2 linked regions of the Drosophila melanogaster genome follow. The protein of the gene in region 2 interacts with the protein of the main gene of each other region in a pairwise test. Each region holds a gene or a part of one and is shown on either strand. Other genes may lie near its edges.

The links. The genes of interacting proteins can lie anywhere in the genome.
Region 1: the proteins of EndoA (region 2) and Hdc interact in a two-hybrid assay, tested with the Drosophila melanogaster proteins (one large-scale study listed by BioGRID).

Annotation. Positions count from the first base shown.
Region 1 is NT_033778.4:10,234,097-10,241,977, reverse strand, and holds the start of Hdc (histidine decarboxylase), read right to left. Parts: upstream 3,991-7,881; 5' UTR 3,503-3,990; intron 2,147-3,502; exon of another isoform or gene 2,092-2,146; intron 1,110-2,091; exon of another isoform or gene 1,085-1,109; 5' UTR 882-1,084; coding exon 854-881; intron 308-853; coding exon 1-307. Other genes in the region: CG12912 (uncharacterized protein), read left to right, coding at 7,766-7,881. UniProt on the Drosophila melanogaster protein: Required in photoreceptor transmitter synthesis. Catlayzes the conversion of L-histidine to histamine.
Region 2 is NT_033777.3:18,902,745-18,912,504, reverse strand, and holds EndoA (endophilin A), read right to left. Parts: upstream 5,897-9,760; 5' UTR 5,485-5,896; exon of another isoform or gene 5,306-5,484; 5' UTR 5,239-5,305; coding exon 4,129-5,238; 3' UTR 4,055-4,128; exon of another isoform or gene 4,000-4,054; 3' UTR 1,750-3,999; downstream 1-1,749. Other genes in the region: Sgsh (N-sulfoglucosamine sulfohydrolase), read left to right, coding at 1-1,245; CG14292 (uncharacterized protein), read left to right, coding at 6,899-6,952, 7,028-7,480; CG34284 (uncharacterized protein), read left to right, coding at 9,598-9,642, 9,719-9,760. UniProt on the Drosophila melanogaster protein: Required presynaptically at the neuromuscular junction. Implicated in synaptic vesicle endocytosis.

The DNA of each region.
Region 1 (7,881 bases), on a different chromosome or scaffold from region 2:
GTGCAGGCCGGCGAGCTCGCCCAGGTGAATCCCAGGCAGTTAATCGCATCCGCCAGCATGTCGCCCAGTAGGGAAGGCATGGAGTTGAGGGCCGGAAAGTAGGCGTGCATGTGGGGCGATTGCCAGTGGGTTATGCCCGGCATCACGATTCGCTCCACATCCGAGAATATTTTCGGCCACGGTTCACCTTCGATCGGAGCGGACTCCGGCAGTAACTGGCGCATATAGCCCGGACTGACATCCGGAAAAACTCGGCGTTCCCGGATGTTCTCCAAATAGTCTGCAATATAGTCGACCATCTCCTTGCCTGTAAATAAAATGTACTTTAATACAGTTCAAGCGATTTTGCTTAGTCTTTGTCCCTAATTAATATAGAATATTTTTTAAAATATTTAATTATTTTAATTAGAATAAAAGTACACAATTATTAATGACTAGGAAAGGTGTTAAAGTGTTAATAAAACCAAAAGGGATATAGATGTAATATACTAACAATTCGTAGATTATGTTAACCACGTGTGTGTAATTAACTTACAATTGCAATTATTTAGTTGTTCAGCTAAAGTATCTAATAAATAATTGCCACACGCTTTAAACAAAAGCAGCCATGTAAGCTCGAAAATGTCAATGAAAATTGATTTGAAAATATGATACTGCATTGCTGGGATTTTCTCCGTGTGTGGGATTTCAATTACAGGCCATGGAACGAAGACAAACGGCCGGGACAAATCCGCCTTGGGCCAATCAAATATATTGTATATGGTGGTGACCTTTGGATGGGATTTCCATCCGGTATTTACTTACACGCGTCTGCCGCTGTGCATTTTATGGCCCAGATTTGGACAGTACTCACCCCTTTGGCGGTATTCCTTGAAGTCCATGGTGCAATCGCCTCACTTAACCGATGCTGACGTAAATACTGTGCAATTGTCGCACGCAATCACGGCTTGTAGATGTATCTTCAGGCGTTTCGTTTCGCAATGAGTTTGGCCTAATCCTGTTGGACTCTGGCTAGGCTAGCTCCATTTTTCGGGGACGTATGCCAAATTGAAATGCCGAATTGGGAACGTCAACCGTCTGACCGCTGGTGGGAAATAGTAAAAAAAAAACAACGGAGAACAATATAATGGAATAGAAACTTGTGCACTTCCGATGTTGTGGGGCTTCTGGCGTTCGCTGGAAATGGAAATGACAAGAAAAGCGCTTGGAAAAGCTATGAAAACGCTAACAGCTGTGAAAACACCTAGTTGGTGCACCTCGGGCACTGGAAGGGTTCGAATCCGATGGATGGTTACCTAATTGCGGCCGTGATAATATTTATCCTATAACTAGGGCTTTTGGGATAGCGCCGGGCTTTTATAGACCTGGCCGGAACCAATTAGCTTGTTGGCTGCACTACAAATCCGATCTGGCTGTGGGATGTGTTGGCAAGTTGTTGGAACACACGGAGCTCCCTAATTGGCCATCCCATAGGCAGCACGACATTAGGGGTGTAACCAAGGGGGATGCGCTCGGATTGCCAGCTGATTTCCAACAAAATTCCGTTTAAATTGGAAAGCACCCTCTAATTGTTTATGCTTGCTGACTTGCATTGCTTGATTATATTTTAAATACCGCAAATTAACTATATCTGTAACGATCTGCAGTGTGTGCACCCATACTCCAACTGCATTTTGTCATGCATTTAGAACGATGGAAACATGAACTGAAATTCATCGATCGAAATCGAATTAAATATTTGCCGTTTCACAAATAATGTTGATAGTCATAGAACAGCAACATTGTGGCTTTTTAAGCATTTGTAAATAACGAGGGAATTTAAAAAATATGTTAGCATTCATTAGAAATTATCACAGAAAATTCAAACAACTACAAGATAATCTGGTTACATTTTATATGGCTATTAATCATTTACAGCAGATATTAGTTTTTATTTATATACTTAAAATAATTTTATTATAATAAATATATTGAGATTAAGCTAAACACTTTCTTCAAACACTTATTTAAAAATCTTCTGGACAATAATTATAGTATTTCAAAATTTTTTATATATTTCGGGAATATTTTACTACCAAGTTATATACGCACAATTACAATAGATTTCAATTTGACACGCACAGGACTCGAATCAAAGTCCAACTGAATGGAATCGGACTCAAACAGGACCTATTTATACCCGGATACTGTTTGTTCTCCGATGCAAAAACGAAGGACTATCCAAATGAAATTGCTATTAAACAGCAGGATGGCTATTTTCCTAAAATGGGTGATGACAACAATAAGCTTAGAGCAAAGCGTTTGCATTGGTGCACAACTTTGAATACTCTTCTAGGATGTCTTCCTAAAAGTCTTTACTGTAATGATTATATATTTATTATTTTATAAGTTTTATTATTTCTAATATATATATTATTATATAAGTATATATTTATTTAAAATTCGGGCTTCTTAAAATGAATAACTTTTAAAAATAAATTGATAATTTAATGTAATTTTTCTTATTCATTATGAAATATAGAGGCAATGAGTCACAAAACGTCAAGAGCTTAAAAGTATTACGTGTAGTTATCAACATTTTTATGAATGTGTTATCTTTTTGGTTACGAATACTTCCTTTCAAAGAGAAAGAGCATATAAATCGGCAACAGGCGGTTTAAATACAAAAGGACATTGAGCACGACGCAGGATGAAAGAGAGTGGGAGAGAGAGAGGGGGAAGCAACAGCCAATGGAAAGAGGTGTCCTTCGGTAGGGAAACAAATCCACTGACCAATCGGATTGCAGTAGACGCAAATGGCATCAACAGGCTGCCAGCTAAATACGTCCCTCATTTTCTAAGTTGTGTGGGCTTACTGATAAATACCCCATCTGGCCAGATTTAAACGAAATTCCCCAGGGAAAACGAAGAATATGAAGAGTCGCACAGGAAGGCATAAAAGCCGAAAATGTTCGAATCTTATGTTGGCTGGAAGCCCGTCTTAAAACGCCAAAAAATATCAGAAACAGCAAATCAGTCCCCCCTCCCCGCTCATTACACACTTGTTACAAGGGAATGGGGCAGAAGGCACAAGAGAGAAGAAAGAAAGAGGGAGAGCATGAGGTCAATGAGCTTTGTACTCGTCTCGAGACTCAGGAAATTTCGACAAAATACCGCTACATTGAATGGCTTTTGCACGTCGAATGCACATGTATCTGTAGTTGTATCTATATCTGTATCCATGAGTGTGTATTACCAAATATTGAGCAATAAGAATAAGAATTTCGGTTTCTTTTGGTCATGAGACAGACAGTTACAATGCGGCTTTTGTTCCGCTCTCTCCCTTTTTGTTCTTTTAAATCTGCGGCTAAAAATACACAATTTGTGAGCTTTTTCATTTAGCTGTGGGCAACAGATAAATTCGTTTCAAAAGTGCATGTGCATACAAAAACACAATAAAAGATACTGTCTTCTTTCTCTTCGTATTCGGATTGGCTCTCTTGGTTTTGGTTGCAGCGCTTACCTGTCGCGCTCTTAAGTCGATCGCTTGGCTTTCTCTCTCTTTGTGCTTTCTTTACTCTCTCTCAGCACCTCTCTCGCTCTCTTTTCTTCGCTCTGTATTTTTTGGTGTGTTTTGATTCCTTCATTCTTGAGCGCTAAGAACGTTCGTTGACCTCGGAAAGTTGGGGCCTCTGCTTAGCGGTACTTCTCAACCTGTTTTTCCCCTCTTACGCCTTTCCCCTTTTCATCCCACAGCGCGAGTGTGTGTGCGAGTGGGCATGTGTGTGTGTTTGCCGTAGAAGTCTTCCTGTTTGCTCAGCGATTAAAGGTGCAACTGAGCGCGCTGCGATCCGATGACGGGCCCCAAAGATACACAGATACTTGCCGAGCAACGTCACGGGCTTCGGTCCCCAACTCTTCGTACCGAGCACTACGTGTATCATTGGGAATAACAGTCAGACTCTCGGACTTTCGGACATCCCATCTCTGATGAAATGCACGCTTGACTCCGCTGGCATGTGTATTTGTTACCAGCCCATACAGGCCAACTTCCATAAATCGATATTTTAGTATAGTATTTTATATCTTCTCTTCTCATGCTGTAGGGGTTTTAAAACTTTGTTATTTTTAAAAGATACCATGGAAAATTTTATTCAAAGAAAAGCTAATCGGTTTTTCTATAAGCCTATTTAAACTTCACATGCAAATATATCATTATTTTGACGAATTTTAAAAATGATTAAATGTCAGAAATCTTTTTTTGCTTTGGTGTACTTTTTATTGAATGACTTCTATAAAATCCTTTGTAGGAAGGCGGGACTGTAGCTTTTCGGTTGCTGCGCGATTATTTTTGGGCAGTGATCACGCATTTAATTAGCAGGAATTGTGGTGAGCGCCCCTTCTGCAGGTGTGTTGGTGAGCGCGTGCGTGTGTGAGGTGGGAACATCTTGCAGCTCCTTTCTCCTTTCTCGGCTGAGCTTCTGTTTCTGTTTCTTTTTGGAGCTTGCTTGGTTTCCCACTCGCCTCCGCACACAGGTTCCCGCCAGAGGATGATGATTCCACCGCCGATGCAGAGGATGATGACCACGATGATGAGCGCGATCATGATCATCGGATGCAACGGGTCTTTGACTCGGTCTCTGGCCATTTAGTGTGCAATCGTTTGTCCCCACGTCCAGTCCAGTCCACTCGGATTCCGGGCTCTCTCATCGGATCGCTACCAGTCCCGATTACGCTTGCTCTCCTTTCTGATCCGTTCCACTCCGCCGGCTTCATCATCGCCTTCGCCGGCTAACTTCGCCGTTTGAAAACTATTTGATCCGAGAACAATACTGGGACTCGAACTAATTCGCCGATTTTACGATCGCTATTATGATCTCATGGCCGGGAGATGAGTTCAAGGCCTTGACACTGATCTGATCCGATTTGGGTGTCTGAACGAAAGTCCATGTCCATTGATGAGATTGCTTAACCCGGATAACATGCCCAGCACCATCAGAGGTTAGTGAGAATGGGGAGTACTAAACATAAGACCACGAGTAGCTATGATATTCCTAAAATATTAAGCTTTATTAACTATTGGATATATTTAAGTTCTTACAATAAATCGATTTATGTCTAGATGATTTTATAATTAAGGAATGGAATACATAATACTTTTGAAAAGGATCAAATTTTAACAAAGAGGGAATTAAAAAAATAATTTTATATAGAATATAACTTGAATAGGGTCTTAATTCTCTTTAGAACCAAACACGATGACAAATAATTCCATAAATTGTTTTCAAGCATTGTAATAGATTTGCTAAAGGTCTTATGAGTTTGCTAGTTTTGAAACAGAGTTTCTCTGGTAATCAAAATAGTTGGTTGGTGATATTTCGCCTCAAAAATCAGCCTTGCCTGGCTATAGGCGACTATTGGAATCATTAGGCTGGCGAAAAGTTAAAAAAAAAAACCTAATTGATTATAAAAGGCAACGGCTTTCAATAGCCGCAAACAAATGGATGGGATATGCAGTCAAGCTGCAAGACATGCAATGCAGCACCTCCGCCAGTCTCGCCGTTGGATTTCCGATTCTAGCCAAAAGATTTTACCACATCTTCAAGGCAGAACAACAGTAATGGCCCGGCCAACTGTTGCCTCATCGACAGTGGGGCTGCAATAAACCAGTTGGAAGTCGCAGCTAATCTTGCAACACAGTTGCGCAACAAAGAATCCGAGGCAACGGTACTAACGTGTTTGCTGTTTCTGCTGCTATTGTGGCTATACGCTGGCTTCTTTTTGATTCTGTTCTGTTCTTTGCTTTTCTCCGTCTCCATTTTCTTGGCAATCAGCTCTCTGAGCCAGTTGCGTGTAACAGGTTTTTCCTCTTGAATAACTGGGACTTTCTTACGGGACTTTTTCGGAGAGTTTCTGCAGAGAAAACAGGTTAGAATCGGCACAGACTTGCAATAGATGATGAGGCAACAGCCGCCGCAAGAAGTTTACAACGGTGAGGCACACATTTCGCGTTCACGTTAGAACCAACGGTGTTTTAGCCAAGTTTAGCTGCAAGCTGCTAGTAAGCTGGTTGGCAGAACCACCAACCAGTTACCAGTTACCAGTTAGCTCTTGATTGTTGTTGCGCAAGCGGCAGCTGAATGCGGCGCAGAATAAATCTAACATGATTTAAGCAACGGAAAAACATGAAATATTAATGCCGATGCTTGAGTCTTGGCTCCGAATCAGAATCCGAATCCGTCCTAACGGTGGTCGCTCCGTTCGCCATCATCGACCCTCCTCTATAAGAAGTTTGGCCCTATGCCACCCAATTCCCCCACTCCCCTCCCCGCCCTAATGATGGCTCGATCCGATCGGTTGGGCTGGGGCCCAGTTGGGCGATTAGTTCAAATTTGCCCCGTCTGTTGGCCAATGGCCGAGATGTTCTCGGTTCGCCCCTTTTTTTGGGCATTCTTGACTCGAGGGTCATTGTGGTCATAGCTGTTCTTTGATTGGTTTTTGCCCAAATTGGCATTGGCAGCTTTAATTAGCGAGCTTAACATTTTAGTGCATTCTTGTAGTTTTGAGAGCACTAAAAATGCGCATTTTATGACTCATTTAAAAATATATATGTGCCAATGTTCATACTATTTATGACACTTTAAAGCTTTTTATATACATACTATATAATTATAAATACATGTATATTATCTTTACACAGCTTGTAGTAGACAAGACTTCGTATATATAATGACTTACTACTGCATCTATAGTTTATCCGTGTTCTACAAATTTGGTTTATAAACGAGGGGTTAACCATGAATTACATATCTTATGCACTATTTAAATGCATAACAAAAGAAAATATTTGTTTACCAAATATGTTTCTTTTTAAACATGTATATATAAAAATATATATCATAGTTGATTTTTTATTAACTAATTTTATGAATTTTTACAAATATTATAAATGGCAGTTTCAGTTGTTAGTTGAGTAAATGTCGAAAGTCAAGCCCAGAAGACTCATTCAAAATTTTCCGCCCTTGGAATTTCCACCTCGAGCGTGCAGAAATTTCCCATGACGCTTTATCACCACGACGGGAATTTTCCTGGCCCTTAGCCCGCCCCCGCCCCCACTGAGAGTTTTAGGGGTGGAAAAGCTGCGCAACAAACGTTCGTTCGACTGTGCTCGTTTTCCTTCGTGTTGTGGCTTCCAGTTTTTCCTGGCTATGCACTTGGCATTATGCCTACTAACCCTATTTTCGCAGCAGTTCGCAGCGAGTCCCATTTTTCAACTTGCATGCGGATACACACGCACACACACACTCGGATTTTCCTTTTCCCAGAAACTGAGGCGCAACCCCCACGAAACGGAAAGTTTGTGCAGCGGCAGAACGAACTGTGTTTGTGGCACTCGAATTTGGGACACATTCCTGTAAAGGACGCAGCTCCGGTCAGCTGCTTCGCAAAATCGACAAAAAGGAGTCACAAAAAAACGCGCGCGGTGCATTTAGCCACAAATCTCTGAAAGTGAAAATACAAATATTGAAACAGTGAAATCCACAAACCAGCCAAAAGTGAAACAAAATTGAACACAGTGCTTAATTAATATCGAAGCTAAAGGGATAGAAATCCGATTAGGAAAAGGGAAAGCTGCAGCGCTGCTCCTGTTTGCCAAATATTGATTCGCAAGTGTGCCGCTGAAAAATCGATTATTAAAGCCACTTTCCACACAGCTGGTGGTTGTTGTTGCCGTGAGGATGGAGGTGGTGCTTGGGGTGGTGGTTGCATAGGGTTGCGTGCCGCGATGTGGGAAATCAACAGCAACATTGGCACATCCACATCCAGATCCAGAGGCACACTTCCAACTGTTTTGACGTGGTCGGGTTCCAATGGCGCTGACACTACCGAATGCTGCAGCGC
Region 2 (9,760 bases):
GATCAAAGTGGCGGACGGATCTTGAGCGGCATCATTGGCAAGAAACATGTTGGGGCCGCCAACAATTTCCGTTTCGATTTCGAGCAAACAGAGGAGCAGCATTCCATCAACCAGATTGGCAGAAACATCACCCGGATGAAGGAGTATGCCAGGCAGTTTCTCAAGCAGGCCAAGGACGAAAAGAAACCCTTCTTCCTGATGGTCGGCTTCCATGATCCCCATCGTTGTGGCCACATCACCCCGCAGTTTGGAGAATTCTGTGAGCGTTGGGGCAGCGGAGAGGAGGGAATGGGCAGCATACCCGACTGGAAGCCCATCTACTACGATTGGCGTAACCTGGACGTGCCCGCCTGGCTGCCCGACACGGATGTAGTGCGTCAGGAGCTGGCTGCTCAGTACATGACCATCTCGAGGTTGGATCAGGGAGTTGGTCTAATGCTGAAGGAGCTAGAAGCAGCCGGCGTGGCAGATCAGACACTCGTGATCTACACCTCCGACAATGGACCACCGTTTCCCGGAGGCAGAACCAATCTCTACGAGCACGGCATACGATCGCCCCTGATCATTAGCTCTCCCAATAAGGAGGATCGTCATCATGAAGCCACTGCTGCCATGGTCAGTCTTTTGGATATATACCCCAGTGTAATGGATGCTCTTCAGATTCCCCGACCGAATGACACCAAAATCGTTGGCAGATCGATACTCCCAGTACTGCGGGAGGAACCTCCGATCAAGGAGAGCGATTCGGTGTTCGGTAGTCACAGTTACCACGAGGTGACCATGGCCTATCCCATGAGAATGGTGCGCAATAGGCGCTACAAGCTTATCCATAATATCAACTACTGGGCAGACTTCCCCATCGACCAGGACTTTTACACTTCACCCACATTCCAGCAGATATTGAATGCCACTCTCAGGAAGCAAACTCTGCCATGGTATCGTTCCTTGTTGCAGTACTACCAGCGACCCGAATGGGAGCTGTACGACATTAAGACGGATCCCTTGGAGCGTTTCAATCTGGCCGATAAGGCCAAGTACAATGGCACCCTGAAGCAGTTACGCGAGCAACTGTTCGACTGGCAGGTAGCCACCAAGGATCCCTGGCGATGTGCTCCGCACGCTGTGCTCCAGGAGCAGGGCGTCTACAAGGATCAGCCCGTCTGTCTGACCTTGGGCCACGAGGCGTTGCAGCGGCCCAAGCGCAGGATTCTCGGTCAGTATGAGGAGTATGTGGTCTTCTCGTAGGTCTGACTAAGAGTATTCAATAGATTGGGTGTGTTGTCTTATCGCATGTCCAATGGTTGATAACTCAACCATGCCAATGTTTTTCACTTCACATGCCGTTACAGTTGCGGTCATACAAATAGGAATTGCAAAAGGTAGAAATGATAATATTATATTAATGTATATTCTTATTAAAATAATAAAAAAAAAGTAACATACAATACTTTCAATAATAAACTTTGTTTAACTTTGAAGCGAGCTGCTAATCTTTAAGCATGGCTAATAAAAAGATCAATGTTTTCAAAAGCAATGGTAATCATAAGAATTAAGCATTTGTTTAGAGTATGTACATATGTATGTTCTTTGAACAAATTTCCAAGTTTACATTAAGGGAAAACTTTAATTGCTTTTTACAAACAAACAGATAAAAATATATTGCCTTGATTTTCACCTGCGCAATGCCAAAAAAATAGCCAACAGAATTGGCAAAGAAAGAAGACTGAAGATTCCCCCACTGACTGAATTGGTTGCATCAGCCCAGACTGGCAAACACTCGTGTCCTGGCAGCATGACCTCACCCACTTTTTGGACTGGAGGCGTGGGCATCAGGGGTTGGATGCTGCGTCACGTTTCAATGTCATGCCCACTGGGTCAGTGGGATAGGGGAGGGGAGGGTGTGCTGGCGGCTGCCTGTGTCTGTGTGTGGAAAATCGAAAATTTCAATGCTTCTGTTGTAGTTTATTGGTGGCGCCTCCGGATTCCCACATCGCCCACCACCACCCATTCCCAGCAGCATTCGAGTCTCTGTGTTACACAACAGGCAGCACGTTTTATGGTTTTAAGGTCAGATGGGAAATATCAAAGAGTAAACGACGTTTGCTTGTTTTTTTTTTTGTTGTTTCTCAGTTATGACTTTGAACGAAAGACACATTAAAAATTAAATTTTATTAATTTTGGTTTGCATAAATTAGGGTCTTCAGTTTTAGCATAGTTATTATTATTATGTATATGCCTTGTAATATATATTATTCAAGTTACCGCCCACACAAAAATGCAAAATTACAATAATTATTGTTTGAAGTTCGGGCCCCGCTGCACGTGGGGCAAGTGTGTATCGCGTGGAAAGATAGTCTCCAGGCGATGGGTGGATCCTCCCCAGATGGGGTATCCTCTGGAAATGTTCGCACTGGCAGTCTGTCCGTCCACGAGGCAAATGTTTCATCTTCGCACTCGAATATATAATTCTGTTAAATGTTTTCTTGGCATTTAACAAATTTATTATCAACACAAGTTGCATGGCTTTCAATTCAATGGTTTTCTTCATACGTAAATATATATGTATCTTGTGTATATCATTCCTAAACGTACGAGTATATATATGTATATACATTCGTATGTATATCGTGCATAGCTGTATGCCAACATGAGACTATTTTGAATCATTTTATCGGTTTGCCGTCGAATGTTTATTATTATCTCGTTAAATATATAAATATTTGATCTAGAGTTGCGGTTGGTAAACGCGTTAGTAGGTTCGTAAGTGTTGCTATGCTTCGATTGACTTGACTGGATTTTGCTTACGTTTAAAGTTATTATTATCAACATTTTTGTGGAAATCGTTTAACTAGTATTATGCTTGTTGGTTGGTATTGTTTAGGAGGATTCTGTTACATTTACTTGCCGCTAGTACTTTTTATCTGTTATCATCGTTTAAATATTCATTATATTGTTTACGTTGCTGCTCAGTATAATTTATAATAAATACATAATAATAAATATACATGTAGATAATACGCTTAATAAATATATTTATACATATATTTGATTTCATTTAATATATATATATATAGTTGTTATGTATATAATTAACAAACAAAAAAAACAACACACATAAAAAGGAGCAAAAAGTAGGATACAAATTTCGCTTGTTTCATCCTCGAAAAATTGAATTGAATTATTCTTTACATTGAACAACGAACATCAAGAACGGTATTCCGTATGCCTTTTAGAATAGAGTGTGGGGAGTATTGTTTTTGCACAAATATACGTAGGTAGAGTAGGTATATGTAGGTATTTTCGGGTATATAATAAATATGTATATGCATGTGGGCGGGCGTATGGTGTGGATACGTAGCTTTAGCCTATAAAGGGACATTTGCATAGAGAGCGCATTGGCGTAGGTTGGTTTAAATTACAACGATGAGACCGGATAAAAAGACCTCCGAAAACTGGAGGCTAGAAGAACTCAGGTGGAAAGACAAAAGAGACGCGCCTCCATGGGCGTGATTAAGATTACACGGGTAATTTAGTTAATTAGCTAGAGTGTTTTTCTGTTTGCTTCTGCCGCCGGACCAACTGTTCTAATACGTGATCGATCTATTGTGTGAAGTAGTACTAAATGTTCGCAACTTGCAACGAACAACAAAGCTGACGTTTGAGAATCAAAGGTAAAAACGCAAGGAAGTGGCATTGCGCGCGTAACGTCTTGTAAATTTAGTTAGTTAATACGTACATTAATTTAACTCGTAGTTAATTTGTTAATTATTGTGTTGCCAACTGGTATAATTTTGCACATAAAATTTAGTTAGCTTGCTCTATGGCCACCATGAATTTAGCCTGCTGTGTGCTGCTAGCTAAGCCGTATCGTAATATCCGTAATCGTAGTAACCCGCTCATCTAATTCAACTATATATATATATTTGCATTTATGTGCTGCTGCTGCTGCTTCTGCTGCTCCTGCTTCTGCATCGGCTTGGGCTGCCCAATTTCGCGCCTCTGGTGGCGAAACCAACAATTAAGGTTATTGTTCTCCAATCAGCGATCTACGTACGTCTTCAGCCAGTTTGATAGGATGGGATTGGTTTAGGGATCGGGATTAATACGAGGAACAGGATGAGGAATAGCCTAGTTGCCATTGGGCAGGGGCACCTGCACCTGAACATACGACTGCGGGAAGTAACCGGTGCGGCCATTCACCGCGCCCTCGAACCAATTGTCGTCGACGCGATTCAACAGGGTGATAATGTCGTTCTCCTTGAAGGCCAGTTCGCCGGGATTCTCCGGCTCGAAGTCGTAGAGGGCCTGGCAGCAGGGCTGCTGCTGGCGCTGCGGCGTTACGGCCATCGACTTGGCGGGCGAACGCATCGGCGAGGGCAACGGCGAGGCGCTCGAACTAATGTGAGACGGCGTGCCATCTTCGTTGAGGCCGCCGCCACCGCCGTCCAAGTTCAGATCGAGCAGCGTCTTGGGCACGAACTCGTTGCGTGGCCGGCTCTCCGCCTCGGAGCGCTTCTCCTGCAGTGTCTCCTGCAGGCCTCGAAGGACATCCGCGCATTGCGAATGAAAATCGTATAGTGCCTCGGCAAAGGTGACCAGCTGGGAGACATGCTCCGTATCGTTCTCGAGCAAATTGAACATGCCCACCTGGGCCAGCTGGAGCGATTCACCGAACTTGTCCTCGGCACCACGAATCTCATCGTCCTTGGCCTGTCGGCGACGCTTGCAGTCAAAGTCTAGCCGCCGGCCCTGCAGCTTCTTGCGATGATGCATTACCTCCTTGAGGTCTTTGGTCTGCATATGATGCAGTGGCTCCAAAAAGTTCTGCTTGATGTTGTCGTCCAGCGAATACTTGACGTCGGCCATCTGTTTCAGCGCTTCGCCGAATTCGACGAGCGCCTGCGCGAACACGCTGTTGTCCTCGCCGAGCTTCTTCCCATAAGTCAGCATGCATTCCGCGAGCAGGCCCTCCGGTTGCGGATACGTATTGGACTTGGCCTGTCCGGACAGCTTCGAGATGCCCTTGACCGCTGCCATTTTGGCCCGTGCCGTTGGATTCGGCTGCAGGAACTCCTTCGTCTTTAGCTGCAGCTCCTCCACTAGCTCCACGGTGACGTCCGTCTTGCGTTCCATCTCCATGAAGTCCATGTCCAGTTTGGTGCCCTCGGCACCGCCCATCTTCTCCGTCATATACTGGTTGGCCTTGTTGATCTGCTTTTTGAGTCCGGCGAAAGCCATGGCTGCTGCTGTCTCTTCTGGTTTTCTTCCTCTGATTAAATTGGTCTTGGGGCGCTCGACGCAGTTGCTGTGAACGGGTTGGTTGGGTTAGTCGAGACTCGATTTCAAATTCAATGTCAATATCATCAAGTCAACAATTTCATCAATGGACTGGATGGCTGCCTCACTGACTGCCCGACTGCCTGGCTGGCTGGCTGGCTGGCTGAGTGTGTCTATTTTTAAAACGTTTACGTTTGGAAGACTTACGCGTACTGCACTTTTCTCCGTTCCTTCTCCGCTGGGGGTGCTACTTTCCGGGGCTCTTCTGCTCGCTCAGTGGAGGCTGCGAGTCGGGAAACTCGAATTGGCTTGGTGAACTGTAGCCCGAGTTCGAGTTCTACTTTTGCTGACCACTACTGCGGGCACTTTCACTCGCTTCGCTTGCTCTGCACGTTCTGCCCCGTTTTTTTTTTTGTTGCTCTGCTCGTAATCTTCGATTTTTTCCAGAACCTTGGGCTGCGTAATGTTTGAAGGACCGTGAGTCGTTACTACTACTACTGGTCGCGCACAGGGGGCGGGGGCTGTGGGGTCGCGTTTTCCTCTCGGCTCGCAAAAATCAATATCTTGACTGTGTACAACAATTTTCAACGGCACTAAGCCACTGGAGCTGCGGGACTATCGATAATTCTGTTAAAAAACATTCAGTGTGACCGGTGGTTCGTAAAATACCAAAATCATTCGCATACAACAACGGACATACACGGGATACGCTCATCTCTAGGCATATGTTAAAGATGTGAGGTACAACTTAACATTTTCATTTAATTTCTTTGCAGGGGGGTATTAGATAGTTATATATATATATCAAAACAATATTAAAAATTAAAGTAATATATATATTTTATATTAAGAAGCCAGAAGCACATAAACAGTTAACATAATATCTTACATTTAATATCTAATACTTATAATGTTAATGCATTATAAATTTGAATTTGAAATCTATGTTGATTGGCAGAATTATTAGACTAGAATAAATATGGTCGGTCCCACTGTCGGTCTCTGTATTTGCTCTGTCCTTGTACATGCTGTTAATCGAATAGCTGTTAGATTAGAATAACAGTTTGGCGCGTAAAATTCTAACATTACAATACATAAATATATTATATTGATAGAAAACGTACTCAGCAAAAATAAAGCTGTATAACTGCTGATGAATGTTACGCTAAGATAAAAATGGAATGACTCAGAATGGATAAGAAAATATCATGTTTATCCTGTTTACCAAAATAACTGTGCGCAAAATAACCAGTAGCACAGCAGTCAATTTTATCTTTCTAGAAGGTGGCAAATATATCCCAGGCAAAAATTAAACCCCATTTGCATCGTAAAAACCAGTGACGTTCACAGCATGAAGTAGCAATTTTACCACCTTTTTTTTTTTTATATATTCTGGCTCTATCTGAACAGATAACCCCCGAGAGGTACTTAGCACCACCGAACAAACAATGAACATGTAAATCAGTTCAATCGCAGTAGTAATAGTTGAGATATCAGAGATAAGATCTCCCTGCCGTGTTTTTAATGGCGTATAAAAGCCGCAAGCCGTTGTGCTTTTGGCAATTAGTCTAGACGAAACCCAACGACTGAGAACCAAGTGAACTCAGATAAATTAAAAGAAATGAAATTCGCAATTGTTCTACTGGCGGCCAGCATTGCCTGCATCAGTGCACAGGTGAGGAGTTGTGGATATGGGCCCCCCCATTAAGTGGATTATTATGTAACCGAATTATCATAATTTACTCGTAAGGGCCCTGGAGCTACTGTTGGAAATCCCCTTGCCGGAAATCCCTTTGCCGCCGCCAATCCGTATGCGGCTGCCTTTAATCCCTTCCTAAATGGAATTTTCGGAGGTGCTGGCACAGGAGCTGCCGCCGGTGTAGCCGCTCCCGTGGCACCGTCTGCTCCCTTTGGAGGCGCCTCGATTTCCTCATTCTTCCAGTCGATAGTCCTGCAACGCGAAGCCGAGCGTCTGCTCTCCCAGCCTGACTTTCCCGCCGACCTGGCGGAGCGCGTCCTGGATGTGGTGGCCACCTCGGAGGAGTCGATCAGTGGCTGCAACAACGCCACTTTGCCCTGGCTGCAGATACGCTGTGTCAAGCCTCTGCTGACCACGGCCAAGAACCAGCTGAAGGCCATCGATGACGAGTGGCAGGCCCGTTTGGCCGCCACCGCCAGTCCCACAGGAGCAGCTGCTGCCTAGGATTCTAGTCCTGTCCTCCGGCTGCCTTAGTGTCCAATACTTCCTAGCTTAGCAATCGACCAACATAGATGCAATAAAATTTAAATAAGCCTAATGCCGGAATTTCCTATGCTGGTTTAAGGGGTGCAAAGGTGTGTGTGTGTGTGTGTGTGGTAAGGGGGGGAGGGGGGGGGAGGCCAAAGGACTCCTGACCTAGGACATGCTTTGATGTGGCCGGCCGAGCTTTGCATTCCGCTGCTTTATTAAATTTCCCATCGGGAATTACAAATTTTGGCGTTTGCCTTCTTGACGCTTTTCGGGGCGCAAATACTTGGCTGCTCACGTCACCGTCACGAAAATCCTGGTTCGACCTCGACTAAAAGGATGCTTATGCTTTGGAAAGTTAGTGTTGTCATTATGGGGGAAATATGCTAACTTAAGTTCTAAGCAAATAATTTTTATAAATTAATAGTTTTAATATGCTAACTTGCAGGATTAAAAAAGTTACTATAGCTTAGCTTTAAGTAGCTTAATCCAATAATACCAAAATTAAGCTAAATCGTAATATTTCATTAAAAAATATATGCAACTGAAGTGACTTAATTTTCAGTGAAATATATAATGGCCAAGTCGTCATCACTTCGACGCACACTTGAATCGTTTTGGCCATCGCATGGAACTTGACGCATTTTGGTCAAATATTTGTACTGAGTTCCTCTGCTTTGTTTCCCTGACCTCCCTGGCCCAGCTCATTTTGCGGGGTTATGACAGCCCTTTTATGCACTTTTCCATTGGCGCCATCAATTGTTTCCAGTGCATGATTTGCTTCTCAATTGGAGCCCTTTGAGTTGAGGGTCGGGAGTCAGCTCGCTTGAGTTGCGTCCAGTTGCGGCGGCAATGTTGATTTATGTGCCAGTGCAGCTCCAATTATCCAATGTCCTCACTCAAATTGCCGGCCATCCTGCCCTTCGATTCGATGTGAATCGAATCGATTCGATTTGATATGGCTTTTGGATTTGCATTTCAATTCGAATTCCGGGCTTAGGACCTGTGGTTATTAAATGGCTTGGCTTAACGAGCCAAGGACCGGCCACAAATGACCAAATGACCAAATGACGAAGGGGCCATTGGATGTTGGATAAGCCACGAACAATGCCTAAATGGGGGCGAGTTTGAATTCAGATTGAAATATTTAATTAAATGTAAATTTCCAACATACACAACATCCGCCGCTTCACAAGATGGGGAGTGCAAAAGTTTTGGGCCAATTAATAAAAGTATTTCGGTATTGAAATTCGAGTTTGTTCGTCGTCATTACAACAATGCGGGCCAAACTTGGCCAACTTTGGTGTAGTGTTAGCCGCGAACTGATCGACCAACCCTCCGTAACTAAACCTCAACCGAATGAACCGCCTTAAGCTCTGTTTTGGTAATGCAAAAGTTGCGGCATTTGAAATTCAGGCAGCAGCAGCAAAACAAAAAATGGTAATTTCGAGCACAGAATGAAATCCAGCCGCAACTGCCCAACTAAGAGTATATATAAATCCGAAATTGGTTAGAGGAAAAAATTAAAAAACAAAAAAAAAAGAAATAAAAGCAAAATGCGACACATACGAAGGGATTCTACGGAAAGTGCATGTATGGAAATTTGTTTTCGGTTTGCGGCTTTTTTTGTTTTGATGCAAAAGTTGTGTGTGCCCCCCAAAGTAGGCAACAAAATTTCTGCGGCTTTGGACTGTGTCAAAGTTCGTTAGTTCGTTTGTTATTCGACGATATTGTGGGTCGCAAAAATTAGTGCAAAAACTAAATCCGTTCACGACCAAAGTTCCAATCCAATAGTGAATCATCCCACAAACTGAATGGTGTTCATCCGTAGTTTGCTATTAGCACTTGCTACTGTTATTTGATTCCCGAGTGCCACTTCCGCTGATAAAGTTATCTAATTAATCCAGCAAATATACGCTTATGGACCAACATAAAACATAATGGGGTTGAGGCTATCGTTTCGTATTGCACTCAGATAGATGGTGAGATAATGGAGGCTGTAAACTCTATCAAAGCGCAAACAGAAGATAAGTTTGAATGTCTTTCGAGTTTTTCAAATTGTGCTTCAGTCGGTCATTGAAAGTTTCCAGAAAATGTCGAGTGCAGTGCTGATAGCTTTCTGCGTCTTGGTTGTTTTGGTAATTGAAAATAATACTAAACACAAAAAAAAATCTTTAAAAATAATCTATTTTTTCATATATATGCGCTCAATAGACCGGACAATCGGTTGGCCAAAATGTGGCCGTGCAACAGTCA